Nothobranchius furzeri: one gene and its partners. The main gene of each other region encodes a partner of the protein of the gene in region 6 in a complex. Links are inferred from orthologs where the notes say so. Each region holds a gene or a part of one and is shown on either strand. Other genes may lie near its edges. The genes, in order: lsm7, sart1, prpf4, lsm3, ppih, txnl4a and lsm5.

Region 1 (4,019 bases), on a different chromosome or scaffold from region 6:
GCCTCACCAAAATATCTTGACCTACTTGTGGTTTGCAACCCACCAACTGGTACACAGTCAGGGTTTATTAATAGTAGTCATGTGTGGGTCATGACCAAGCTAATTCAGTGTGCTGGCTTGTTCATGTCAATGACTGGAGCAAGCTCCATGCTGAGAGCCTTTATTGGTTATTGATTTTTTTCCCAATAACAATACTGAAACTCAAAAAATTAGAATATGGTGCAAAAGTTCACTTATTTCAATAATCCATCTTAGACTGAGAGACCATCTAAAGGCTCGGGAACCCTTTGCAGATGTTTTTGATTAATTAGCTGGTTAGAGTGCGACACTTTGAGTCTAGAGTATTGAACCTTCTCGCACGTTCTGTTTGTCTGAGATATTTAGTTTTAGATGTTTTCGTAAGCTGTAAGCCATAATCATCACACTTATAACAAATAAATGATGGAAATATCTGGTTTTGCATAGAATGAGTTTATCTCATGAATTTGTTTCACCTTTTAGGTTTTTATACTGAAATCAATAAACTTTTGAACCATGTTCAAATTTTTTGAGTTTCATCTGTATACATTTTATTTTAAAAAGGGTTTCATTGTGGGGCAGTTGGAAGCACTGGTGACTCACAGGAACAATGTCATAGGTTTAAACCTTGGCTACGGCCTTTCATTCTCTCCATGCATGTGTGGGTTTGCTCTGGGTACATGCTCCTCCAGCAGACCAAAAACATACAAGCTGATCGGCAACCCCAACTGTCTTTAGTTGTGAACTCAGTATTAGCATAGTTTTTAACACTGTTACATACTGTTTTGATTGTGAATTTAGCTAAATAATAAACGAAAAAGGCTGTTAGAGCGAGTTTCCCACTCGCTGATAACAAAAGTGTTATAGCGTTTTATTTAGAAAGAATTTACAGGCAGTTTTCTCTTCTCCATCTCCATCAACCAAAAGAAACAAAAATACAGATTATGATCCCCCCCCCCCCCCCCCCCCAGTTTCATTGCCATGAGACTAGAACGTTCCCTTCTAGCTTCTTAGAACCTGATTGTAGTTGCAGTTTATCCCCACTGGAGGGCGTAGATTTCTTCTGAGATTGTAGCCTGTAGCTATTAGCTAACGCACAATGCAGCTGAGAAAGATGAACGTTTTTCCCAGCCTGACAGCGTATTAAGACAATCACATGAGTGTGTATTTAACTCATTACGTTTTAGTAGAGATGGTAGTCCCGAGACTTTTACAAAAATCAATATTGTTTCATTTTACTTTTTATGGTCTACAGCTGGACCTCTCTGAACCCTCTGAACGCGTTATCTCATTGGATCACTATCATTTCCTAGGGTCTAAGATTTACTTCCGGGTCAGACAGTAAATATGGCGGTGAGTTCGTAATCCATGGCTTTCATTATATTGTGTTACTTTTTATCTTTTCACATCCACATTTGTATTGTTAAGATTTAGCTTTGTTTTCTGAACAAAAGTCGACTTGAACAACTTTTATTTTGCTGTGACGGTAGACGTTTTACTTAAATAACGTGGCTAGTAGTGAGCTAAGCTAAGGCTACGTTTTGTTTGTGATTAATTAGTGACTTAAGACAATGTAACCTGGCCTTTCTGCAGGATAAAGAAAAGAAAAAGAAGGAGAGCATCTTCGACTTGTCCAAGTATATCGACAAGACGATTCGGGTGAAGTTTCAAGGTGGACGAGAGGGTGGGTGGACCAAGCTGTTGCTAACCCTTTCATTTCGTGCAAGCAGTAAATGTCTAGATTTCCTTATGTGGAAGCCTAAAATTTGTGTTTTCTTCTCAGCAAGCGGCGTTTTGAAAGGATTTGATCCTCTGTTGAACCTGGTGCTGGACGGCACGATCGAATACATGCGTGGTAAGAAAACCAAAACTCAAATCCAGCCAGAAAACTGCTCCTCAGTCTGAGTCCATGTTTATATCGATGAAGGACTTTTCCTGAACACATTCCGAAGTTCCCCAACACACATAACTATAAAGTAATAATTCGCATTAATTTCGCCCCTACCGTCATCTTTAAAACGATCTACAGTTAGTGAAAATAAGCATGTTGATCAAAACATTATGTTCATGTTCAGAGCATGTTTAAGAGACATTTTTCTACTTCACTTTTTTGAGTTAATTTGTTTTTCAGTAAATTATCAGGAATACGTGTGTGTGTGCGTGCGTGCGTGCTAATCTTGTTTGACAATAAAAGCAACATAATTTTAGATTATCTTCAGTGGACGAACATTACATATAATTACATGTAGACAAAAACATGTTGCTGCTATGTTTAAAAGAAGAAAATTCACAGGCTCTAAATAATTCATTCTAAAACATCAAATAATCCGAGAGATTTTCTGGGCTTCAAATTGAAAAAAGGTTTCCAAATTTTCAAATCACGCCCTTGTATGTAAGATTAATTTTTCAGTTTCATAAAATTAAGAAAGTCTGTGTGTAAAAGCATCTGTGGAATTGTTTTCTTTTTGTACAAACAAACAGAAAACATTGTGTAGACACCTCTCTACTGGAACAGTGTGTTGTTTCCAGGTAAAGGTAAGTAGCTGGTTGTGTTTTTTGTGCTCTTACCCTGTAAGGTTACTCCACCTATCTCCTCTACCATCACTGTGGATTTGTTGAAAATGTGATGCTAGTTTGAACAAACACTGGAAAAATGCTCAAGTTTCTAATTCTCAGTTTAGTGTTTGGAGGGGAGGGTTGAGCTAATATTCAGAGGAGTCATGGAGGCCACTCGGGTGGAACAAAAACCAGAAACATGTGGGGGGAAATTAAATTGATTTAAAAATCCCCAAACAAAAGATGAGTGGCTTTTTTCAGTTTGAGGTTTGTTCTTTAGTGGTCGAAGCAGATTTTTAACAGTGATAACAAATCAAATGTTGTTGGTTTTTTATCGCTGTTACAAGTGGTCGTCTTGTGTGGACTTAACATCTTTGAAAAATACATCTGAACTGAAGATGGTCAAAACAAAAAAATCAAAGGTCTCACCATTCATGTTTTAGTTTTGAGTGCATTCCGGTAAAATGCTTGGTGGACACCCAGCTGCTTGACATTTCCAGTGTGAACGTTCTGTGGCTTTGTGTGCAGATCCAGACGACCAGCTGAAGCTGACAGAAGACACCCGACAGCTGGGGCTGGTGGTCTGCAGAGGAACCTCTGTGGTGCTGATCTGTCCTCAGGATGGCATGGAGGCCATTCCTAACCCATTCATCCAGCAGCAAGATGGATAACCCCCATGCTGCTGCGTGGCACACTTTTGATTAGACTTTTCTTTTTTAACATTACAGGACACTTGTCATTCAGACGACAAACATGTTTTAAGTTCATCACTGGTAAAATAAGGCTCCGTTGCACTTCAGTTTTATTTCCCTGCTAATTTTGCTCATTTTTGTGTTGTGAGGAGCTCCCAGTTCTGAAAGTGTTAAAACAAATTTCTTGTTATCTGAGTGAACTTTTTACTATTCTTTGTTTTTGATAAGAAAATAAAGTGGAAAAAAAGCTGAATCTGAATGTTTTTCTCCTTTGAACACAGAGGACGTGTTGGAAAGTTACACCAGATATGGTCTATTCGAAAGGGTGACAAGGATCTGAGTGGTTTTGTTGACCCGACAGACGTCCCCTACCTGCTGGTTGTGACTGACTCGATGGGTCTACAGACTACTGAACTCTGCAGTAAAAAAAAAGATGAGTGTGTTTAGGTTTAAAGGGAGTTTCTGTGTTTGAAGATAAACCGTTCAAGCTTGTCTGCACACTCACAAAGACACATATGTGGCATTAACAGCTTTTAAGTCAGTAATGCATTAAGCTGGGGTGGGGGTGTAAAGTAATGATATCTATGGATTGTTCCTTTTGAAAGAAAGGATCTTCAGTAGATTTTGGCGTTGGAGAAACGCAGAAACAAAATGCTGATGAGTTTTAAGTGAGATAACTGAAGCTGTTTTTTAAAATGGCAAAATTTTTACTTAACTGGATGTGAAACCTCCTAAAAGTAGGTTAGAATAGTG
Region 2 (4,251 bases), on a different chromosome or scaffold from region 6:
CTTTGCTAACTGCCTGGACCCAAATGGCTAACAGAAGCAGCACGATGCTGTTACAAGCAAGCCGATTTGTCATTTATTACTTGGGCTCAATCCATCGTGGGGGGTTTCGTGCTAAAAGACATTTCAGCCATCCAGGTAACAATTTCTTCTATTCTTTCTTATCCTGGCATGATCTGACGATTCTTACTGAGGGAAACACGCAATTCACGTATCTATTATCCTAGGTGACATATTCAAAGGTTTTTTTAATACACAAAATAAAGAATAGTGGTAAACTCGTGTATAGATCTATTGAGAAACTCGCAACAAATGCAATTACAAATATTTTGAAAGATAATTAAAATATCTATTAAGAACTTGATGAAATAGCATTTGATTCAAACTTTATTTATTGAAATACAGCAAGGCAACAGCACTACCACTGTGCCAACATGCAGCCAAAGCATAACAGATTCAAGTAAAATTTAAAATGTAGTATGTATAAAAATGAGTGAAATTAACATGTGAACTGATATGATATCCATAATGTTACACCTACTCCTACCCTAGGATCCACCCATCCCTTCCTCTATTCCACTGCATCTCTTTGTGCACTTCCATCTATGTTGCACTCTGATTCATTTCTACACTATTTTCGCATACTCCTCTGTCGGAGCCTAGTGTTCTTTCCTCTAATCAGTTTATCGTTAGAATCAGATGCAAGTACTGTTACATCCTTGTTTATAGATCGTTTTGGACAAAAGCATCTGCCAAATACATTAGCACAATGCCCTTTTTGATATCTGGAGCTCAATACAGATAAATGCAAAAGCTGAAGTAGAAAAATGTAATTTGAAAAAATCCTTAATGCTGTTGTTGGTAGACAGAAACCATTGCTAGACATCTGACTTTTTCTCTTTGTCTGAGAAGAATTAATTTTGATGTATATCTGAAAGTGATAAACATCCCAGCCATTAAATGTTCAAATGACCGTTTGGAATCAAAAGCATTTTTAAATACTCTAAACCTGGGGGTTTCCAATTGAAATATCAATTACAGTATTAAAATGTGTTTTTACTGATCAGAATGCACTTCTAGATATTATTTCAGTTACGATAAGTAAGAAATACATTTTGATAATGGGAATTATTATAACTTTATCTAAAATTTTAAGTGAATGGAAATGTTTTGCTTCATTAAATGCTATCACGGCTTGCTAAATACAGCAGGTTGCAGGCTGCAACCTTTGCTAAGCTAACAAGCTAAAGTAAAGGAACTGCGCCAAAATAGAGGAGATAGTAAATCGCTGTGTTGCACTTCGTGTACTTTTTGTAAAGTATCAAACAATTTTCCTAAAACATTTAAAAGCGTTTGTTTGTCAGTTAATGTCCGGTTGTTAAAGCCCCAGCCAGCAGGGGGCGATATACAACCAGGGCGAGCAAAGTTTTTTCTACCACTTGACTTCCGGAAACGAATTCGTTGTCGTTGTATGTTCGTTTCGTCGAAGTAGCAAACTTAAAACGTGGTTGTTAGTATTTATGCTGGTGCGAGGTGCTACAAATAAACAAACCAACGAAACTCCACGTATTTTCCACCGATGCTGGATATCGAAAATATGATGCAGTTTTCCCCGAAATGAGTGAGTTTTGACGTGGCTAACCCTTTAGCTTTTGAAGCTAACTCGACCTAGTTGGGAGAAAAGTTCGCGACATTTACCACATCAATACAGCTGAAGAGACTGCGTACGCAGCTTGACTGTGACGGAACTACGACTCTGGAGTTGTAAACAGCGGACGAAATCATGGGTTCTTCAAAGAAACACAAGGAAAAGAGTCGCGATAAGGACGCAGAAGAGCGCCGTCGTGAACATAAGAAGCATCGGCACAAAGAACGAGAGAGAGACAGAGATGCCTCAGATCGGGATGGAACTCGAGAAAAACGAAAACGCTCCAGGTCCAGGGAAAGGAGCAGACGGGATAGTCGCAGCAAAGGGGAAAAAAGCAGTGGCGAGACTCGTATAAAGAGGGAGAAATTGGATCCTGGCTATGAGGAAGGCAGTGCAGAAATACAGCCTCAGAGTGCAAGTGGAGATGCTTCCCTCAGCGTCGAGGAAACGAACAAACTCCGAGCCAAGCTGGGTTTAAAGCCTCTGGAACTCAATGAGAACAAGAAAGAACTTGGAACCAAAGAGGAGCCACTGGTGGCTGAGACCATCAACCCTGTTCTCATCCAGCAGCAGAAAGAGATGAGGGAGAAGCTTGCAGCTATGAAAGAAAAACGTCTCCTCAATCAGAAACTGGGCAAAGTCAAAAACCTTGCAGATGATGATTGGCTCGATGACACAGCCGCTTGGATTGAAAGAAGCAGAAAGCTGGCACAAGAGAAAGAAATGGCAGAGAAAAGAGCCAAACTTCTGGAAGAGATGGATGAGGAGTTTGGTGTCAGCAATCTGGTTGAAGAGGAGTTTGCTCAAAGTAAATTGGATTCTTATTCTTCACGGGATCTCAAAGGCCTCAAAGTGCAGCACAAGGTTGATTCCTTCAAGGAGGGCCACACTGTCATTCTGACCCTGCAAGACAAAGGTGTCCTGGAAGAAGAGGAGGATGTGCTTGTGAACGTGGGACTGGTGGACAAGGAAAAAGCAGAAAAGAATGTGGAGTTGAAAAAGAAAAAGCCTGACTACAAGCCCTACGAAGAAGAGGAGAGTGTGGATGACATGGTCACCTTTAAGCCCCGCACTGTACTTTCAAAATACGATGAAGAAATTGAAGGTGAAAAGAAAAAGAGCTTTCGTTTGAGCACATGGGGATTTGCTGATGGGGAGCGAGAACGGGAGCTGCAGGCTATGAAAGAAACGCTGCAAAACCAGGCCCAGTCTTTGGAAATGCCTGCTCTTGCTATCGCTTCGGAGTATTACACGCCTCAGGAAATGGTTGGCTTTAAAAAGACAAAACGCCGTGTGAAGAAAATCAGGAAGAAGGAGAAGCAGACAATTGCAGATGAGCTCCTTGATGACACTCGCAGCTCTGACTTTGGCTCCCGAGCACGAGGTCGGGGCCGCAAACAGGACAACGAAGAGGAGAATACAGGCAAGGGCGAGCGTTGGCCACATGAAATCCCCCAAATGTCTGATGACATCAGGACGGCAGAAATGGAAATGAGTGATGAAGAAAACTTCACGCCTCCTGAGCCAGCTGTAATTGAGGAGGATGAGGCAGAGCAGGAGCTGCAGAAACAACTGGAGAAACAGAGGAAGCTGAGGCAGAAGCAGCTTCTCAAAGACTCCGGGGAGAAGGTGGCAGAGCAGATCAGACGGTTTGTTAAAGGCGGTGACGAAAATGATCCTGACAAGAGGAATAACATTGTCTTCAATGCCACCTCTGAGTTCTGCAGAACTCTGGGTGATATTCCAACGTATGGACTGTCTGGAAACAGGGAAGACCAGGAGGATATCATGGACTTTGAACAGGAAGAAGAGAAAGATGATGCTGGAGATTCAGACTCCGAAATGGATGAAAATATTGGGTGGAGCACAGTTAACCTGGATGAGGAGCAAAATCATGCTGAATTTTCCACAGCCTCTGCCACTATCCTGGATGAGGAACCCATCGTGAACTCTGGCCTTGCTGCTGCTTTACTGCTGTGCAAAAATAAAGGGCTGCTGGACACGCAAATGCAAAAGGTGGCTCGTGTCAAAGCAACAAAGGGGTCCCTGCCTAATGACAACTACTGCATCGAGGACAAGATGGGCTTTGATGATAAGTACAGTCGCCGGGAAGAATACAGAGGCTTCACGCAGGATTTCAAGGAAAAGGATGGATATAAACCCGACGTCAAAATTGAGTATGTGGATGAGTCTGGGCGCAGACTCACCCCAAAAGAGGCATTCAGGCAGCTTTCGCATCGTTTCCACGGCAAAGGTTCTGGAAAGATGAAAACTGAAAGGAGGATGAAAAAGCTGGAGGAGGAAGCGCTGCTGAAGAAGATGAGCAGCAGCGATACACCTCTGGGGACGGTGGCTTTGCTTCAAGAGAAACAGAAATCTCAGAAAACGCCGTACATCGTCCTCAGTGGCAGTGGGAAGAGCATGAATGCAAACACCATCACTAAATAAATATGTAGGGGAAAATGATTATTGTTGTAGCTCTTTTGAGATTATTGCTAGTTTATGGTCTTGCTTCAGTGTTGATATAACAATAGTATAAGAAAATCAGTACAGGTGTAAACTATTTCATTTGTCTTGTGAATTTCCTAAAAGAACAATAATTTAAA
Region 3 (4,300 bases), on a different chromosome or scaffold from region 6:
GGCTCTCATAACACCTGAGCAGTGCCACAGACTGATCGAGTCCATGCCACGCCGCATTACTGCAGTTATTGAGGCAAAAGGAGCCCCGACTAAGTATTGAGTGCTATACATGCACATTCTTTTCATGTTCATTCTTTTCAGTTGGCCAACATTAGAGAAACAAACATTTTTTCATTGGCCTTTAGAATATTCTAATTTTCTGAGATACCAGATTTGATGTTTTCATTGGTTGTCACCTATAAATATCAAAATTAAACGTAATAAACATCGGAAATACATTGGTCTGTGTGCATTGCATGAATATAATGTACAAGTTTCACGTTTTGAATGGAATTACTGAAATATTTTCAACCTTTTGATGATATTCTAATTTACTGGCCAGCACCTGTATAAGAATTATTAACATCATCAACATAAACATCAGTCCAATCAGAGCAAAACAGTTCATATTTCAGAGCTTCAATTGCAACAGAAGTTTTTTTTCTAGTTGTGGTATAATTTACATTTTCCAGAGATGTTTCATCACTTCTCATCATTTCCACCACAGTAAACACCAGTAAATGATCAGTAATATCAGTTAAAAAAGGCCATTCTTTGTCTTGACGTCAGATTGATTTATGAATATATTATCAATCGGTGTAATACTACGGCTGTTATCCTGCTTGGTCTCAGTATCAACGGAAGGAAACCTAAACTAAACATTAAATTGATAAATTCAGCTATTTTAGTATTATCATCTGATTTAAACATATCAGTATTATAATCACCACAAATTAAAGCAATTTTGTTCCTACATTGCCCAAATAATGTTTCAATACGTTCATTAAACTGATCTATAGAAGAACCAGGACTACGATACATACAACTTATAATGATGTTTCTGGATTTTTTACACTTAATTTCAATTGTCAGACACTCCATCAAATTCTCAACAATGAAGGTCATATTTGTTAGTTTCGTACAATCAAAACCAGTCCTAACAAAAAGTGCTACCCCACCCCCTCTTTGTTTTGTCTGCTCTGAGTAAACATTTCATAGCCATCCAGTTTATTCAATAACTCTTTTCCATCTTTGATCCAGGTATCTGAAATTGCAACTACTGTAAGTTTCTCCTTGAACTCATTTAGGTAATCTGAGATCTTAGATAAATTGTTGTAGAGACTTCTGCTGTTAAAGTGTATTAATGAAAATCCACACATACTCACTTTGAAGTCCTCTACAATATAATATTCACAGTCCAGGTGGGTGTTGCTGCAACCATTAATTTCTGAGTCAACTCCATTATCTATCAGATTTGATATTTTTTTTAGATTTTATGATCTACATCACTGACAAACCTAAAAAAAAATCTATTATTTCCTGATTTCTTGTAGTCTGCTGTGTCCATGAATTAAATACCATCTTCTTCTCATCATTTGAGTTTTTCCAGTTCAGAGAGGCTCTTGATGCTCACCACCATAGCCTGTTCTGGTGGTCCAGTAAGCTTGATCATTACTTTACAGTTCCTTATCCAGGTATCCTGTATTTTCCTCTCCTTCTTCAGAATTCTTGCTTGCCAGGCAATCTCTGCATTCTTCTTTGTCAGGTGCTCATTTACATACACTCCTGTGCCCTTAAGCTTCTTTACGACCTTTAACAAGTCAACTTTATGTTTCCTGCTCACAAACTGAATTATTGTTTTGTTTTTTTTTTCCAGTTTTTTTAGGAATTGTGTAGCATGCAGCTATAGTGGTGCTGTCAATAGAAATGCCCTTACTTCCAAAGAACTGAATAACTTGTTTCTCCAGTGACAAACTATTAATGGTAAATGGCCTGTATTTGATATAGCGCCTTCTGAGTCCTGCAACCCCCCAAGGCGCTTTACAACACAATCAGTCATTCACCCATTCACACACACATTCACACACTGGTGGGGATGAGCTACGATGTAGCCACAGCTGCCCTGGGGCGCACTGACGGAGGCGAGGCTGCTGAGCACAGGCGCCACCGGTCCCTCCGACCACCACCAGCAGGCAACGTGGGTTAAGTGTCTTGCCCAAGGACACAACGACAGCGACAGACTGAGCGGGGCTCGAACCTGCAACCTTCCGATTACGGGGCGAGATCTTAACTCCTGTGCCACCATCGCCCACGCAATGGTGGGTTAGGGTTAGTTCATTATTTATTAACTAACATTAACACTAATTGATAAATTTTTATTATGTTGTTTGAACCCAAGGGTCTCATTATCAGATTTTTTTAACTTGTTGGATTGATCTAAAAGTGCCCCCTTTTTTTTTTTTTTTTTTTACTTTGAGCCCCGCCCCGTCAAAGGTCTCTGCACGGCCCTGGTTTCAGTAGAACGAGCTCTACGAAAACCTGACTGCCTGGAAGCTATCATAGATGTTATGAGTGAGTTAGTAGTGAACTGGTGCTGCAACCCACACCAGTAGTGAACTGGTGCTGCAACCCACACCAGTAGTGAACTGGTGCTGTAACCGTAGCTGTGCAGAACACACACGGACCGCACGACGAAACCATAGAAGCGTTCTGATGTTCGCACGTGACTCGGAGCTAACGGCTCACGGACACGCGTGTCTAGCCGAGCACGCGCACCTGCTGTTTGGACCATAAGCGTGTTTCTCTGTTTTAAAGCTTCGTTTGTTTTGTTGTTCAAACTTACCGTAAAAACAGACGAAGCCGCAACGTCTCCTAGCACTGCAACCCGGATATGAAACTGTTGGCTTCCGGGTCAAAGCTTCTTTTTCCGGTTGGTGGATCCGTGGACTTATGGGTAATTAACCAATCTACCTGTTAGCCAGATAACCAAACAGCTGACGATCAGGACGAAGGAGAGTCTCGGTGCGTCAGGTAAAGTCACCTGGGTTCGTCACACAAACGGGTTCGGGTGGACGGAAGTAAAGTTGACATGATGTTCACAGATTCGACTTTTCCGCCTCAACAACTTCGGATGTTCTGGAACATAACGCTGTGTGGAGTCAACCCGCAACACCTGCGTTATTTAAAACCTCTGCTTGCGACGCTTTTACGTTGATGGGGTGACGGTGGCACAGGAGCCCAGAGCCCCCCCTTAACCGGAAGGTTGCAGGTTCGAAACTCATAGAGTTGCGTGTTTTCCCCATCCATGCGGGGCTTCCTTGCGGGGTTAGACGCGGTTTTCCCCCCCTACAGGCTAACTCTTGTAGGTCTGCCACATAAATCAACTTGCCCTGCTCTCCTAACATTTTTTGATAAATGTGTCTTTAATTAGGTGAATTTTTAATCTCCTCCACAGTAGGACCCTAAACCTAGTGGCGCCAAATCGTCACAGCTGATCGATACTCTTGTGCCCGGCTTGGTAAACCTTTTAGGTTAAGAAAAACTGGTTTTCTGATGTTGGGTGAATTTTTCTAACTTGAATTATCAGTAGGTCCTACACAATGCACGGTGGTGCCACCTGCTGGTGAAGGTGGAGGTTTGTCAGCAGTGGCAGAACCAACATTAGGACGAATTACTGGATGCTTTCTTTGCAGTGAGATGATAAAGCATCTGGAGGGCTTGTTAGTGACCTGAGCAGTGAGAAGCGTGATCAGTGAAACATGTAAATGAATGATAAACGACCCACGCTTGTGTAGCACCTTTCAGAGCCTGAGGACTCCAAAGCGCCTTACACTACAGTGCATCATTCATCCATTCACACGCTGGTGGAGATGAGCTACGATGTAGCTACAGCTGCCCTGGGGCACACTGACGGCCAAGGCTGTCAAGCACTGGTGCCACCGGTCCCTCCGACCACCACCAGCAGGTAAAGGTCTTGCCCAAGGACACCACGGCAGCATTCTCTGTCTGAAGCTGGGATCGAAATTGCCACCTTCGGGTTAGTGGACAACCCGCTCTACTCCTGAGCTGCTGCTGTCCATCATGTAGTTCTGAGCTGCTGATAAAATTCAGGGCTGACTACAAAATCTTGCTCATCACATATAAGGCCACTCACAACCTTGCCCCTCGTACCTCTCCCATCTCATAAAGGTTTCTACACACTCCCCAGTTGCCATCAACCGGCACAGTCCCCCTGCCCGTCCTGTCACCGTGGGACGTCTGCCCCCTAACCCCTCTCCGTGGAAGTCATTACCAGCTGAACCCTCCACCTGTTGAAGCTTTTCTCTTCCCTGTAACTATGTTTGACGTTTTATCGTGCTTTTGAATGCACCACTCATTTAATGCTTGTTCGACTGTTTCGTTTGCTTTTACTTTACAGTGAACTTGAGTTTTTAGAAAGTATTTTTACGATGATTATTCACTTCACACATCTGTTTGACTG
Region 4 (4,072 bases), on a different chromosome or scaffold from region 6:
TGGTTAAAAGCAATAAATCAGTGGAGAAAAACAAGTGATTCTGAAATGCACTGCCAAGTTCTTGCAACTTCGACATCTCATGGGGCTTAAAGGAGATGTACAGTTGGATGTCATCTGCATAAGATGGTTGGAGATTTCTTTGAAGGAGCTCAGGATGTGCTGAAGAGGGAGCAGATAGAGGAGGAAGAGTAGAGCGCCCAGCACAGAACCTTGTGGGACACCATGGGCGAGGGAGGTGGTGGAGGACCCAAACTTGGAGACGGCCACAGAGAAGCACCTAACCCTAACCCTAACCCTCAGACAGATAAGAGGAGAACCACTTCAGAGCAGATCCTGATATGCCTACCCAGTCTCTCAGCAAAGCTGCTGACACACAACCTTCTCCAGAAGTTTCAAATTGAAAAGGAGAATAGAGATTGGCCTGTAATTGTCTGCACAGAGACATCAGATTCTGGTTTCTTCAGGATCGGTTTACTGACTGCAGCTTTTAATGCAGTTGGAACCACTCCAGTGCTCAGGCTGCCGTTAATGATCAGACGCAGAGACTGACCCAAACACGGAAAGGCCTCCTTCCACAGACGAGGTGGCAAAACATCGAGTGGAGAGCTAGACGACTTCTGCCCTGAGACAAGCTTAGACAACTCAGAATAAGAGAGTATTAAAATAGCTCAGGGTGGACTGTATTGGAGTAACTGGATCAGGGTCTGTAGATGAACCAAAAATAGCAGCTCTAATGGCAGAGACTTTGCTAGTGAAAAAGTTGTGAAAGTCATCACATTCTCCAGCAGCAGTAGAAAAAATGATGCCAGAGTCCTGGTACACTGAGACAGAGTTAAGCGTTTTATGGAGAATTTTTGAATTGTTACAGTTTGTATCAATGATGTCAGCAAAATAGCCCGTTCTAGCGACCCTCACAGCATCAAGATCAAGATACTCTAAACATCTAATGGGAGACCTGTAGGTCTATGCCCGTTTATGTGCAGCCTACAGTTACAACAACCGGCGTACAATTTGAAAACAGATCAAGCGGGATTACTAGTAACTTTACAAGCCTACCTCATGGAATTCTATATTTAAATATATTTTAATTTATTTTGTTAAATTATATTTATATTTTAATTATCATGCCATATATTGTATCAGCTTTTGTGAAAAAGCTTGATAAAATGCGTTTTTTAGTTGGCTAAGCACCTTCCTAAGTAGAAATTAATGCAGTGGGGGCGAATGGAGACCCAACTAAGATGGCGGTCGGCCACTACGGCAGCCGTCCACGGGGCGTCTACGTATATATGACTGCGACCTCAGAGCCCATTGAGGCACTAGGCCAGTTAAAGCATCATGGCGGATGAAGTGGAGCAGGTTCGTTTGGTTGCCGTGTTTATACACTTTTGTTCGTTTTAGCGTCTGTGCAGTTGCTTGACTTCGTCGCGCATTATTAACTTTATGCATTTCTTTAATCTAAGGATACAAGCGTAGCATTTTGCTAATTGCTAACACGGTTTAATTGTGTTTAGGCCTGTGAAACCGGTTAGCCCACATTCACCTAGCGTTCAGCTCATCCTAAAATTATCAGTAAGCGCGTAAAAGTTACCAGATTCTCACAAATGAAAGATTAATGAATGACTTTTCCCGTTATGTTTGTCTAGCAAATTGGACAAATAATTAATATTGAGTTTTCTTTAACTATTGTGTTTAGTTATTAACTTTAGTAAGTAACGAGTCTCAACAAACTGTTTGGATCAAAGTTTATGATTTAAAATGAATATTTCTAAGCTGTAATGTGCAATTTAATTGAAAATAAAGATATTAGTGACAAAGATACCATAGTGTTAATAAGTCATGAGACGTTTAATTGGTTTGATCAGTACTTCTGCACACTCTCTTTACATTTCCTATCAGATGGTTTGTTTTCTAAGCCCTGGTCTTTAAAGGCAAGCCTTAACAAAGCTGTACAGACACAACAAAAATGAATAAATAACAATATAAAGACTCAGCTAAACAATGTTTGGATATTAGTGATGCATCGATATAAATTTTTGGACCGATACTGATATCCGATATTAAGATCACTGTTATGGCCGATAACCGATATTTGCCGATACCGATATACACTGACATTAATGCTTCCAAAATCTGCAGATTTTATATAGAATGAAAATTATTAAAGCTGGATTTACATTATTGTGTACACACAACACACACATTTACGCTTCTGAGGTGATTACAATCACTGTCACATGATTAAACAAATACACATCACCCCCCTCACCCTCTGAAACTGATAAACAAATGGAGACGAGATAGAAAAATTAATATCGGCCCGGTTTTATTTATGGGACCAATACCGATATGTTTAAAAATGACTAACATCGGCCGATACCGATATTGATGCCGATATATTGTCCATCCCTATTGGATATTTTTAATCTAGATTTTTAAAAACATTTCCGGTGAGTGTAAAAAAACCGACTAGTTTTGTTTTTAAATGTTTGCTATTTGATGAATATGCCAATAAAAAATGGAATCCGTACATTGATGATTATTTTAATGTGTTCCACAGCAACCACCTACCAACACGGTGGAGGAGCCTCTCGATTTGATCAGGCTCAGTCTGGATGAGCGGATCTACGTGAAGATGAGGAATGACCGGGAGCTCCGCGGTCGACTACATGTACGACACACACACACACACACACACACACACACGGTTCAGAAGATCCAGTTTTTTCACAATACTTGCTGATAAAACAGGTAAAAAAAATAAGACTGAAAATTCTAATGTCAGTAAAACAACTTAAAAGGTGAAACTAATCTATGAGACAGACTCATTCCACGCAAACCCAGATATTTCAGCCTTTATTTGTGATGATTATGGCATTCAGCTGATGAAAACCCCACATTCATAATCTCAGACAATTAGAATATTGTGTTCAGGTAAATATTCTAGTGTCAGACTTTTATCAGCTGATGAATCCAGAACACCTGCAGAGGGTTCCTGAGCCTGTAGATGGTCTCTCCATCTGAGCTTGATTACTGTCATAAATGGACTTTTGCACCATATTCTCTTTTGTCCAGTTTCACCTGTATGTCCTAACTAATGTTTGCCATCTGGTCCAGGCGTATGACCAACACTTAAATATGATCCTGGGGGATGTGGAGGAGACGGTGACAACAGTGGAGATTGATGAGGAGACGTATGAAGAACTTTATAAGGTCAGTTTTTATGAACAAACATAGAAAAACCTCTCTAGCCACATTTCTACTGAACAGCTTTTGTTTTGGACTCTTTGCTGTGTTTGCTTAGTGGCAAACTTGTGCCACTGTTGGGTGATGCTTAAAGATCCATCAGATGCAGAAACGTTAAACGATGTTAACTTGTCACTTTAACATAACGCTGAATAGATCTGCAGAAAGTAATAAAACAGAATTTTAAGATTCTACGAGGTTTCATTATTGTTCATGATCAGAAACTCAAGTTTTATTTAAATTTGACGGTACTTTAGTGAGTATTTAAATAAAATATCTGTTATTTAAATGTTTTTACTGTATTTGTTTCTTTAGTCTACCAAGAGGAACATCCCCATGTTGTTTGTCAGAGGAGACGGCGTTGTCCTCGTAGCTCCGCCTCTCCGAGTCGGCTAAGCCCCCCATGCCTGACAGGATGATGTAACTGCTTCTGGGAAGTGTCCATTTTTGTAGGAGAGTGTTATAAATCTTCATTTTCCTTATGCTAGACTGTTATTTCATCTTTAAATTTCATGTGAATCAGAGGCTCTTCTCTAGGGCAAAATGTCTGAGGGGGGAAAAACCCAGGAAGTATGATGTGAGGACACTTTTTTTTATTTTTTGACACATTCTGGGATTGTAAGAATCGGCCTCAGTAGATACTATTATTTTTAGTAGAAAAACATTTTTCTGAATCTTATCAGTTCCGATTGAGTCATTCCAGTGTTTATAAAGACTCGGGTCCCCTTGTGAGCGAAATGTTTGTTAAATTGCTCAACTTTTATGTTGATTTTTAGCTAAATGATTGCATTTGAGTCCCAGAACATTCTTTTTCTTTTACATGACG
Region 5 (4,086 bases), on a different chromosome or scaffold from region 6:
ATGAATTATGTGTACCGGGAAAACAAAAAGGAGCAGACCAGAGTCTTGGCGAAATAAACACGGAAAAGGGTAAATCCTAACAGATGTTTCGGCAATTCGGGTAAATAACATAATTCATTTTATAACACCAGTTGTACTGTTACCTGCTTTGTCCCATACGAGTATTAGAACAGCTGTCTTTCCTCCGTGTTGGTCTACTTTTGTGTGGCTTTTTCGGATAGTGAAGCACACACGACTCCTCCTACAGACGGTACACAAGGTTCTGTGCCACATTCATTGTACCTCGTAAATTACGACTTTTTGCCATCTAGTCATGGATTTGTTTTGAAAAATAAATAAAAAATACACGAGCACGCGCGCGCACACAAATCTTTATATTAACCTGTTAACATTTTTTGACATTTTGAAAACGAACCATGAAAAGAAATATGAAATAATTAATCAAAAGAACAAGTCGGAGATGTTATTTTGAAAATCTATTTAAAATATTACTCTGATGGCATACCCTGCCCTGCAAAAATAAATAGTTTTCAAGTCTATGAAGTAAAGATAAGTAATTTATACATTTATAGATCTAGATTCAAATACTGAACTTGAAGTTTTGCCATACATCATACAAAACATGTTTGAAGCATTTATATTAGTAAATCTCTATTATAATGAGTTGGAGAAAATTATAATTTTCTGAGCATAATTTAGCCACTAGGAACTATACATTACTCATCTTTCAGTGTATAATAAGATATTTCAAGTGTTTTTATGTTGGAAAATACTGGGTTTTTTTACTTGTCCAACACATCCAAAATTGACCTATTTCTATTTCTTGCGAATTTCCCAAGTCGTGTTTTCAATATTTGACTATTTTTATTTAGTGAAAAAATATGCAGCACAAGGTGGCGCTCTGGTAAAATCATTCTAGAGTGTTCATTCGTGTTCTCCTGGGTTCTCCTGTGCTCTCTTCTTCTAAAGAGGACAGTGGAGTCAAGACGTACATTGCATTTTATTTTGCTCAACTTAATTCTGTTTTTACTATTCACTGAGACTGTATTTTAATATTTAGTTATTTATTTCCAGCTGACCTTTAAATAAAATTTGAAACATTTTAAATTTGCATTTTTGAACTGCTAAACATCAGGAAAAGGTTGGATTTAAGTTATGTGAAATCCTAGTAATAACATAGCTATGGGAAACAAAAGATTTACACCAACATTAGCCAGGGTCTAAAGAAGAAATATATACAATGCATGTCTAGGTTTTTGTCCCTAGTTGCAATTCGTACCTTGTCTCTCGCGAGCCACCATAAGTTTCTTCTGCGCATGCTCTCTATTTTCAAATGGCTAGTATGTAATTTTTTTTGCCGATTTGTAATTTGAAATCTGTGCAAAAGCGGTCAAAACATATCGATGTCTGTTCAAGCGACAAACCCAAACAACCCCATCGTGTTCTTTGACATTACCATCGGAGGGCAGGTCAGTGGAACCCAAAAGTTCTTTTTATTTTACCGAAAACGTGCTGTCAACGTCACCGCGCTCAGTTACTCATCTCAACGCAAAGTCGCCTTTTGATTAAGTTTATGGGAGAGTAAGCAGAATTTTAGGTATTATGTTTAGTTTATTTGTTTCTTATAATAGTAAATCAGTGCTACGTTTAACGTTTTGTTTAAGTAGTGGATATTTATGTGCTTTGAAAGGCGCAGAGAAAACGTTTAACTTGAATAAAAACGAGATTGAGGTTCTTTTTATCTTCCATTTCAACATTCGACAATCAACACCAAGAAGATTTTATAGGTTTGAGAAAGTGGCTCTGCGTGTGCAAGTGCCACCAGTAAGAACTTGGTTGGCTCACCTGCTTTTTAAAGCATGCACCAGGACATTAACAAAACAGCAGATCTGTGTCGATGCTGAACATGTTCATTCAACATAGCAGACACTGCATGCAAATGGATACTTCTCATATACTTACAAAGTACCCCTGACCACTGATTATAAAGCAAAGTTTGAAATAATCGTATTAATAATTTCAAACTAATGTGAGTTATTTTCAATAATGAAAAATCACAAAACCGTTAAAAATGTGTGCAAAATTTTGCAGAATTTCAGGGCAAAGACATGTTTTCACTATTTTTTCTCTGTTAAACGTAGCATTAGGGCGGCGATGCAGTAGGTTGTCCTGTTGACTTTCAGAAAGAAGGCTGCTGGTTTGAATTCCAGCTGTGGCCTTTATGTGTAGAGCATGTTCTCGCTATTTCTGCGTCGGCTTTTCCTGGGCACTCCTGTTTCCTTTGATGGACCAAAACCATGCATGTTCGGTTCATTGGGGGCTCTAGTGGGCCATTCCCATTTGTACCAGGTCGGCCCGGGCCGGGTAGCCCCGGTCGGCCCCAGCCTGGCCCGGTTGATTCCACACATCCTTGCCTTAAGCCCATGTGGGCTGATTCTACCCACCAATCAGAGGCTTGCTCTAATGGAAGGTGTGAATTTGCTGTCAGCAGTGGGTGTGTTGGCCCTGGTCGGCCTGAAGCAAACCCCCTCGAGAAGAGGGCTGAGAATGAGCCTTGGTTGGCCCGGAAAAATACCAGGCCACCCAGATATGTAAACAACCTACCCTACCCGGCCCGGGCCGACCCGGTACAGATGGGAATGGCCCATAACTTGCTTCTGTGTGAGACTGGTTGTGTATTTCTGCATGGAGTGAGAACCCCTGCCTTTCGCTCGGTGACTGCTGGAGATGGACACCAGCTCCCCTGTAAACATACAGGGAAAAAATGGTTCTGAATATGATTGGGTTTGAAATGTAGCTTTAACTCTGTTGAAGTCGTGTTGCAGGATATGATTATGGAATCGGTAAAGTTTTTTATTACAATGACTTCATGTGGACATTTCCCCTCTCTTTGCTTCACTGCAGCTGAAGTCATCAAATGCTCTTCAGTACAAACCTAATCAGGAAACGGCATCTGATTTAGTTTAATTTGAAGAGGATGTTTCACTTCTAAAGCTACAACATGTAGCTGCTTGTCACTGGGAAACTTACACAAATGGCTGTAACTGATCTGAACCCAGAGCAGAAAGCCATAATTAGAAACAATTTGTTATATGTTCTGTAGCAGCCTTACCTTCAGCCTCGTTCAGACCAGGTGACTCCACCCTACTTGGCCAAACAAAATTTAACTTGCAGCAGAATCTCAAACATATGTAGATGTTTCACCTTCAATCTGTTAGAACACTTCTCATTATTCATTGTTAATCATAGTGGATTTCTGCTATAAGGATTTGTCCAGAAGGACTGAAGGTAGGGCTGGGCAATGAAACGATGGCAATAAATATTTCAAAACAACTTTTCCTCGATGGACATGTGAGAGTGGGAAGATAGAACTTCGGTATGAAGAGTAGAGACCCACAGCTCAGTAGCAGCCAGGCGGATGTGCTGCTAACCGCTCATGTTTGTGTATCTGTAGCCTCCTGCTTCAGGTAAAAGTAGAAAAATGAGAGCCCCAAATGGAAAAAAAGAGATGGACACTGTTAATTACGTCGTTGACAATAAAGGACCGAACAGTTCATTCGTGTGGACGTAGTTTGAATAATTCTTTTGCTGCGAAACTAATGACGTTGAGTGGATGATCTAAACAAAGTCTGTGAAACCACAGGAGCTCATGAGCCAGTGCGACCCGCTGGAACAGCAGGATGTAAAACTTGATAATAAGAACCCAAGTCTCCTCCCCTTCCAGTCAGCTCATGGGTCCCTGGAGCAAAGAAAAAATAACCCGCTTTGCCTTACGCCCTGAATCACAATTATGTCATGTAATTTCAGCTTTGTTTGCTTGTAAAAATTCGTAAATAAAATGACTACAAATCAGAAGTCGCATATATGACGTCCCGACAAAATCTTTTCTCCCCAGCGTAGCTGCTACTTATCAGATAGCCAGATTTATGGTGGTTTTCACGTTTCGTTTAATGCTCCTTCTTTGGTCCTGGAAGAAGGATTCTTTGCTAAACTGATCTCCCCCTCTTCTCTGTCTGGGTCAATTATATCAATTTAGTGGGACGAACGTTTGTAGTCCTATATGTATTTTTCCACACAAAACCTGAA
Region 6 (3,226 bases):
AGATTCCAGGTATGTCATTAAAATGGTATGATTTCCAACATTATGCACAGATTCGTTTTATTTAAAATACTTAACATTTTAAAAAGCCTGTCTACTATCTTATTTTGCATAACCATAATTAAATAAGATCATATATTCATTATATTTATAAACTTATAGCCATATTTTTTAGCCAGTCATTAAAAGCCTTCTAGAATTAAGAGTATTAACAACAGAAAAGCAGGATTTTAAGTTTTACACTCATAAATCTATCAGTCTTATACTTAATGATGTGGTGGAACAGCTTGTACTCATGATAAACATGTTTATTTTATAGGCCTTAGAAGTACTAGATAGACTGGCTCTGTCCAGGGTGAACCCCGCCTGGTTGCCCAGTGACAGCTGGAGATAGGCACCAGCCCCCCGCGACCCTACATGGACAAGCAGGTTCAGAATATATATATATATATATATATATATATATATATATATAAAATAAATTAAAACACTACATTTAAATCTTAAGTAAAAGTTTTTTATTAAAACAGTTACAAGTTGTACAATATTACCGATGTGTTCCACACTGACATATTTCACAGAAATAAGCCTTAAAAAACACAAAACTTAATATTTATGAAGCTACGTTTGCAAAAACAAAAAGTGACATTAAACCCACCATTATCAACAATGTCCTGTTTTACTACCAAAGGTAAACACGCTGAAGAATATTCCTGAACCTTTTGTGTTTTTTGTCTCTTCATTTTGTCAAATGAAAAAATAATAAACTGAACAAAGGAGGATGAAAAAAAATCAGTATCTGTATTTTGTAGAGTAATCCTTGGGAGACACCACCAAACCTCTTCCTTTCCTTGCTCCTCGATACACAGTTTCAACAATATCTATCATCTCCTGTTTGTCCTCGATTATCCAGTTGATCTTGTTATTGTTACCGGTGCCCAAATCAATCATGATGTGTTTGTTCCTGGAAGAGAAAGACAAAAATATCACCTTAAAATATGTTTACTCAGCTGCCCTGTCTATTGCAACATGTGGAACTGGAAGAGCTACCTGAAAAAGAACATGACAGTGCAGGGGTCGTACAACTCGTACATCTTATTGAAATCAGGCACTTCTGTGATGTCCACGAGGTAAATGACAGCAAAGTTCTTCACCTGTAAATAAACAAACCAAGAATGAATTAAACATGGCATTTGGAGCACGCCAGCAGGTAATGTGACGCGACTCCTGAATCTGAGCCAACCGGACTTTATATAATAAAGACAGGAAACAAATCAAACCTTTTCAGCGATGCTGTAAAGAACCTCGTCCATCTTCATACATGTTGGGTCCCAGTCGTGTCCGAAGCGGATGACGAGGACTCGGTCCTCCTCAGACAGGATGGCTTGGTCGACCTGCCATCCATTGTGGAGATGCGGTAACATGTACGACATCTTGACTCAAAAATGAGCAAATTCTAACCTGAAATGGATCAAATAAAGAGTTCAAATCGATCACAGCTGAACATTAAATTAAACAAACATCTCTGAGTACCAGAGAACGGTTTGACCGGCAACAGCTAGCTAGCTAGTTAGCGTTAACCATGGATACAATCTGAAAGACACAATTATGAAACTTCCCACTAAATATTCTGAAACACTTACCCCAAAATATAAAATAGAGTATTTAAGTGGCGGGAAGAAAACGGACTAACTATAGATAAAGCAGCTATGTTCAATGTGACTTCTTTTAAACCCCACGGAAAACAAACGCTTCACGACGTCATCAAATCAGCGACGCAGGAGACGCGTTAAATTTACGTCATAGTCGCTCAATTCGAAAAACTCTTTTAAAAAGTCCCAATTTATTTATTTATTATTTTTTAATGTGAAAGCCGCACACAAAAAATAAAAATTTTAAATAATTAATTATTTGAAATAATTACTTTTCACTCCAGCAAGTACTTTTAAAATAAATATATTTACGTTATGTTTTCCAGCAATATCTTTTTGGATGATCATCTTTTTGGATGATCAACTAGAGAAATACTTCTAGTATTAAATGTATTTCGTATTCATGCATGGAGAACAAACAGATTTTCAAACAGCTCAATAACAAACAGAAATTATGTTTACAGTCTAGATAACATAATTAGAAATTTGCAACATGAATACATTTTTTAGGAAATCTCGGAGCACTCTTTATTTGTAAAGCTTGTTTGCCACACTTCAATTAAAACGTGCACGTGTTGTTTGTGTACTTTACAAAAAAAACTGTTAATATTTGATGCTGTGAAGTATTTCTGATTCTTAACAAGTTCACAAATTTAGAACAATGTGTATATTTGGCACACTTGCTGTAAAATGGATACAGCTTGAAAAATGATTAGTTTGGAGTTTTACTCTGCGTTCAAACTCAAATTCTTCCACAAAAAGAGATTCCAAAGAAAAATTTGTAAAAACCCAACCCTAACTCATCATGCAATGTCAAATACTACGTGTCGTACTTGATTTTTTGCAGGCTTCCTAACACACTTTGTAAATAATAAAATGTAAACCCTTTTCAAGCACTTTAAGATGGAGTTTTTAAATATTTTCCAGCACGTTACACCGGTGTTGCACAGAGACCGTTTATACTTGTTCACAACAATCACGTCACTTTGCTGTCTCATTAAAGGAAACGTCTGCACCATAAAGTCAGTTTCAGTTGTTTTCAAGGACTTATTTAAATGCTGAAGCACTTTTAAAACTTGAAAATACCATTACGAATAAACAAATAAATCATCAATCTTTCAGTCTTACTTAGATTTAGAGACGTTATTTTATTTAAAGTGTGGGTGTACAATTCTAATAGTGGAAAAACACGAAGAAAAAACACTTATTGTGCAATTTACTGCAGTACAATCAAAGAAGAAAAAGATAGTATAAAGGTTAAAGAAAAAACGTTCCAGTCTGACGACATAGCAGCACATTGTGGCACTCCCTAGAGAGAGAGAGTCTAAATGATCATTAGATATGTCTAAAAGTTATATTTTTTTCATTTCATGACTAATTAACCGCATCACTGTGGTAATGAATGACCCAGTGAATGATGAGTTCACCTTTCTCCTGTTAGAAGATTTGGTTTAAGACATGATTGATTAACAAACAGTCATGGTAGCTGACGTGGGATAAAGTTCTAATCTATTCTCCGACTACCATCACCACAGCAATCATCCCTTAAAGCTGACAAAAGGCTTGGTTTATTCGGT
Region 7 (3,526 bases), on a different chromosome or scaffold from region 6:
TGCAGGCTGAGCTAAAGGGAGGTGTGGCTGCTGTGATGTCACAAGAAAGCCTCTTTTTTATGTTTGTATGAATAAAATATTTGTTCTGAAAATATGCACTACTTTAGGACTTGGGTTTAATCATGCCACCAAATAAAAGGAAGTTTTGCTTCAGAGTCAGTTAGAAAATACCAAAATGCAAGTTACTGAAAGGAAAATAACGAATTTCACATTTTTGAGAGGAACTGAGATATTTCTGATGCAGTTTTTAAAGCTTGTAGCATCTTTGATTATTGTTGTTTCTTCCTATTCTGCCCATCACCGTTACTGAACATTAGATAATCAATTAGTATGGAGATCCAACCGGATGTGGGATCAGGTGAGCAGCTGCTGGAAACAACTGGAAAATTATCTGAGGTGGCAGCCAGAAGAGATGTTATATAACTCCGCACAAACAGCTAGAAATCAAAGACGGTTAAAATTAATATTTCCATCTGCATCAAATCCATCTCACCTGCAGTGAGCTGGACCATAACCCTCCATTCTAATGTTTTAGTAGGAATGCACCTTTATACCAGAGCTAGCCACAGTTAGCATGAAGCAGGTTCGTACCTGACAGCCTTTTTTATGGTGAAATCCAACAACCACGATGTGTAGCACCGGCCCCTTCCCTTCAGTTTCGCTGCCGTGAGACTCCATTTTCCCTCAGTCTTCTGTTCTGGAGGTCCGGTGGCGTTTGTGAACTCAGGGGGTTCGGATGTAAACACAGCGAACGGAGCCTAGTTTGAGCCCCGAATCTTTCCCACGCACACACACTCACGCGCGCGCGCACACACACACACACAGCGCTGCAGCTAGATTTCAACAAGATGTTTCCCTGTTCCTCACTTCCGTGTTTGCGTTACCGATTCTGTCAGATCCATCGGGGTCAGAGCACGGATTAGCTGTTAGCATTAGCTTTTAAATGAAAAACTGGTTCAAGTCGCATTTACACAATTTATAACAACCTGTTTCCAATGAATCTACTGACATATTTTCTTGCGAATATCTGATTTTGATCAAATCCTAAAATCAGTCAAGCATAACTTAACCAGAAACAGGAAGTAAACAAATAAACTCTCCATGCTGCAAAATCCATACTTAAGTCTTATACTCAAATATTTTTGCCTCTAAAGTGATTGTTGTTTTGGATGTTTTATTTATTATTTTTTGTGGGGGAATTTAAGTATATTTTTTTATCTATAGCATTCCAAAGTAAATCAGAGTTTGTCTATTCTTGCCTGAATTCGATTTGCTCTTGATTCGATTGGTTGTGACTGCTGCAGTCACACGAAGAAAGTCATGGCGGCTACTCAAGCGACAAACCCGTCACAATTGCTCCCTCTGGGTTCGTAAAATCTAATTTTGTTCCGTTCTTGCTTCAGATAGTTTCGCCTTTAGATACATTTCAATAAGAACCGAACAAGCAGTTCTAATTTAGTGAGTAGCAAACAGAAGTGAGCCGTTTTAGCGGTAAAATCACGCCGGTGTTACGTACAGATCTTTTCACCGAAGTAAACCGTGTCCCCGCTTCCTGACAAGATTTCTAGTCACAGGATTGTGTTCCTCCTGCTAAAATATATTATCTGTGGTGTACGGATTTAATTGTCAGTATGTGTAATTTGTGAAGTAAGCAGTTGCATGTATTTGATAAATTTAGGAACTCGTGGGGGTTATGCTTAGTTCAGCCATCTTTATTGCTTGCATTAATTTACTAATAAAAGTCAAATAAGGAACATTTTACCATTTAAAACATATTATAGCTTAAAGAAAAAGTTTTAAAGAAAACCCCCGGAGATTCTGGTTTAGATGGGGGACACATCTCGATGCAACACCAGCAGGTTTTAGCTAGCTGCAGATAAAGCAATAATTTCGTGTTCAAGCGTGAGTTTTTACCTAATTTATTTTAACAGAGGAGTATTTGTGGCAGTCTAAAAACTAAAAGAAGTGATTGTGTCCTATTTTACAGCAGTTATGACCTGAAAAAGTCAAACCAGCTCGGGTGCCTTAATGAGGATGGCGTGCTGATTGTACACCTGTCCGTGTCTGAACATGAGCAAAAGCTGAGCTGCAGCAGTCATAATAATACTCCTGAACTTATTGTGTTATTTAAATTCAAAGTAGTCACACCCGTGAACAACTTTCGTTGACAACTGACAAGAAAATTCATTTCGTCCATCGACATATATTCAGTTAGATTTAGTCATATTCTTCTGCCACCTACTGGCCAATTAGTGTATGTGCAGTACAAACCTCAACAGTATTTCCCTTAAGAAAAAATGATTTTTAGTAGTTGGTCCTGATTGGTTTTAGATGCTAAACATCACATTAGTTATTTAGAAAATTGTTAAAATCAAACTGAAAACTGTAGAAAATAACCTAACCTGTTATATTTTCAGAGCTTGTGGACAAATGTATCGGCTCTCGAATTCACATCGTCATGAAAACCGACAAAGAAATCGTCGGCACCCTGCTGGGGTTCGATGACTTTGTCAGTATCCTTCCTTAAAAGCTGCTGATCAGCTGTAGTGCGTGATTCAGAGGTGACATGTTCAGATTTGGTCCTCAACTGTGTGTTTCAGACATGGTGCTGGAGGATGTGACAGAATTGTAAGTGTACGTTGTTTTATTAACCGGTGTCTGCCTCATTCATCCTGCTCATCTCCTGGTGTTTCTTCCAGCGAGATCACACCAGAAGGACGGAGAATAACCAAACTGGATCAGATCCTCCTCAATGGAAACAACATCACCATGGTAGGACACAAACGGCTTCGGTCTCTCTCAAACATCACTCAGCTGGATGATTCATGTCGGGTTCATTTCTCCTGCAGCTCATTCCTGGAGGAGAAGGACCAGAAGTGTAAATCCTGTTTTGTGTCTTTTGTTTATTCTCTCCAGGTTTTTGGAGCATATTTTTGTAACATTCTTTGTTCAGTTTTTAGTAAAAGAAGCAGGTCTCACGTGGGAATTAAGATGTCTTTGTTGCAAATAAATCTGTTTGAAAAACATCCTTGTTTCATTTATTTATCATAAAAAGTAAATTTAGTGCAAACATTGGGACAAAATGAAGTGTTACCATCAGAAACCAGTGATAAAATCCAGCATCCAGTCTTTGTTGGACTGTAAAGCTAAATGAGAAGTTTCACTTTTGACTCATGAACAAAAAACGTGGAACCGATCTAGAGCTGAAACAACTAATCGACTTAATCGATTATAATCGATTATTAAAATAGTTAACAACTTTTTTAGTCATCGATTAGTTGTTTAATAATCATATTTTACCGCATAAAGTCTATTTTTTACCACAATCAGACATCGGTTACAAGCTGTTAAATTTGCCGCCAGTGTGTGGCAGTAATGAGCCACTGATCTACCAGTGGAGCCGTAGAAGAAGAAATGAGCCAATGGGTGCCCTCGGTTTTCATGACGTATCACGTTACTGACGCTCATCTTGCTGTGAGAGATGGCGGAACAAGAGGAAATACGGAAGAAAAATAGAAGCGACAAA

Evidence for each region.
Region 1: txnl4a (region 6) and lsm7 share a complex: the UniProt entries of both Homo sapiens proteins name them as parts of the precatalytic spliceosome. The link is inferred for Nothobranchius furzeri from reciprocal best matches to the Homo sapiens genes TXNL4A and LSM7.
Region 2: txnl4a (region 6) and sart1 share a complex: the UniProt entries of both Homo sapiens proteins name them as parts of the U4/U6-U5 tri-snRNP complex. The link is inferred for Nothobranchius furzeri from reciprocal best matches to the Homo sapiens genes TXNL4A and SART1.
Region 3: txnl4a (region 6) and prpf4 share a complex: the UniProt entries of both Homo sapiens proteins name them as parts of the precatalytic spliceosome. The link is inferred for Nothobranchius furzeri from reciprocal best matches to the Homo sapiens genes TXNL4A and PRPF4.
Region 4: txnl4a (region 6) and lsm3 share a complex: the UniProt entries of both Homo sapiens proteins name them as parts of the precatalytic spliceosome. The link is inferred for Nothobranchius furzeri from reciprocal best matches to the Homo sapiens genes TXNL4A and LSM3.
Region 5: txnl4a (region 6) and ppih share a complex: the UniProt entries of both Homo sapiens proteins name them as parts of the U4/U6-U5 tri-snRNP complex. The link is inferred for Nothobranchius furzeri from reciprocal best matches to the Homo sapiens genes TXNL4A and PPIH.
Region 7: txnl4a (region 6) and lsm5 share a complex: the UniProt entries of both Homo sapiens proteins name them as parts of the precatalytic spliceosome. The link is inferred for Nothobranchius furzeri from reciprocal best matches to the Homo sapiens genes TXNL4A and LSM5.

Annotation. Positions count from the first base shown.
Region 1 is NC_091748.1:58,320,411-58,324,429, reverse strand, and holds lsm7 (U6 snRNA-associated Sm-like protein LSm7), read left to right. Parts: upstream 1-1,261; 5' UTR 1,262-1,365; coding exon 1,366-1,371; intron 1,372-1,611; coding exon 1,612-1,702; intron 1,703-1,801; coding exon 1,802-1,873; intron 1,874-3,102; coding exon 3,103-3,245; 3' UTR 3,246-3,519; downstream 3,520-4,019. UniProt on the Homo sapiens protein: Plays a role in pre-mRNA splicing as component of the U4/U6-U5 tri-snRNP complex that is involved in spliceosome assembly, and as component of the precatalytic spliceosome (spliceosome B complex).
Region 2 is NC_091744.1:19,554,452-19,558,702, forward strand, and holds the start of sart1 (U4/U6.U5 tri-snRNP-associated protein 1), read left to right. Parts: upstream 1-1,451; 5' UTR 1,452-1,780; coding exon 1,781-4,093; 3' UTR 4,094-4,251. UniProt on the Homo sapiens protein: Plays a role in mRNA splicing as a component of the U4/U6-U5 tri-snRNP, one of the building blocks of the spliceosome. May also bind to DNA.
Region 3 is NC_091746.1:69,563,499-69,567,798, forward strand, and holds the start of prpf4 (U4/U6 small nuclear ribonucleoprotein Prp4), read right to left. Parts: upstream 2,801-4,300; 5' UTR 2,663-2,800; intron 1-2,662. UniProt on the Homo sapiens protein: Plays a role in pre-mRNA splicing as component of the U4/U6-U5 tri-snRNP complex that is involved in spliceosome assembly, and as component of the precatalytic spliceosome (spliceosome B complex).
Region 4 is NC_091743.1:73,197,565-73,201,636, reverse strand, and holds the start of lsm3 (U6 snRNA-associated Sm-like protein LSm3), read left to right. Parts: upstream 1-1,272; 5' UTR 1,273-1,338; coding exon 1,339-1,359; intron 1,360-2,560; coding exon 2,561-2,671; intron 2,672-3,117; coding exon 3,118-3,213; intron 3,214-3,561; coding exon 3,562-3,642; 3' UTR 3,643-4,072. UniProt on the Homo sapiens protein: Plays a role in pre-mRNA splicing as component of the U4/U6-U5 tri-snRNP complex that is involved in spliceosome assembly, and as component of the precatalytic spliceosome (spliceosome B complex).
Region 5 is NC_091755.1:32,545,059-32,549,144, reverse strand, and holds the start of ppih (peptidyl-prolyl cis-trans isomerase H), read left to right. Parts: upstream 1-1,286; 5' UTR 1,287-1,403; coding exon 1,404-1,469; intron 1,470-4,086. Other genes in the region: zgc:154075 (putative oxidoreductase YteT), read right to left, coding at 144-157. UniProt on the Homo sapiens protein: PPIase that catalyzes the cis-trans isomerization of proline imidic peptide bonds in oligopeptides and may therefore assist protein folding. Participates in pre-mRNA splicing.
Region 6 is NC_091751.1:22,094,757-22,097,982, reverse strand, and holds txnl4a (thioredoxin-like protein 4A), read right to left. Parts: upstream 1,786-3,226; 5' UTR 1,641-1,785; intron 1,459-1,640; 5' UTR 1,431-1,458; coding exon 1,278-1,430; intron 1,152-1,277; coding exon 1,048-1,151; intron 962-1,047; coding exon 790-961; 3' UTR 501-789; downstream 1-500. UniProt on the Homo sapiens protein: Plays a role in pre-mRNA splicing as component of the U5 snRNP and U4/U6-U5 tri-snRNP complexes that are involved in spliceosome assembly, and as component of the precatalytic spliceosome (spliceosome B complex).
Region 7 is NC_091747.1:62,679,674-62,683,199, forward strand, and holds lsm5 (U6 snRNA-associated Sm-like protein LSm5), read left to right. Parts: upstream 1-1,242; 5' UTR 1,243-1,320; coding exon 1,321-1,366; intron 1,367-2,417; coding exon 2,418-2,513; intron 2,514-2,600; coding exon 2,601-2,628; intron 2,629-2,699; coding exon 2,700-2,772; intron 2,773-2,849; coding exon 2,850-2,882; 3' UTR 2,883-3,026; downstream 3,027-3,526. Other genes in the region: late secretory pathway protein AVL9 homolog, read right to left, coding at 592-678. UniProt on the Homo sapiens protein: Plays a role in pre-mRNA splicing as component of the U4/U6-U5 tri-snRNP complex that is involved in spliceosome assembly, and as component of the precatalytic spliceosome (spliceosome B complex).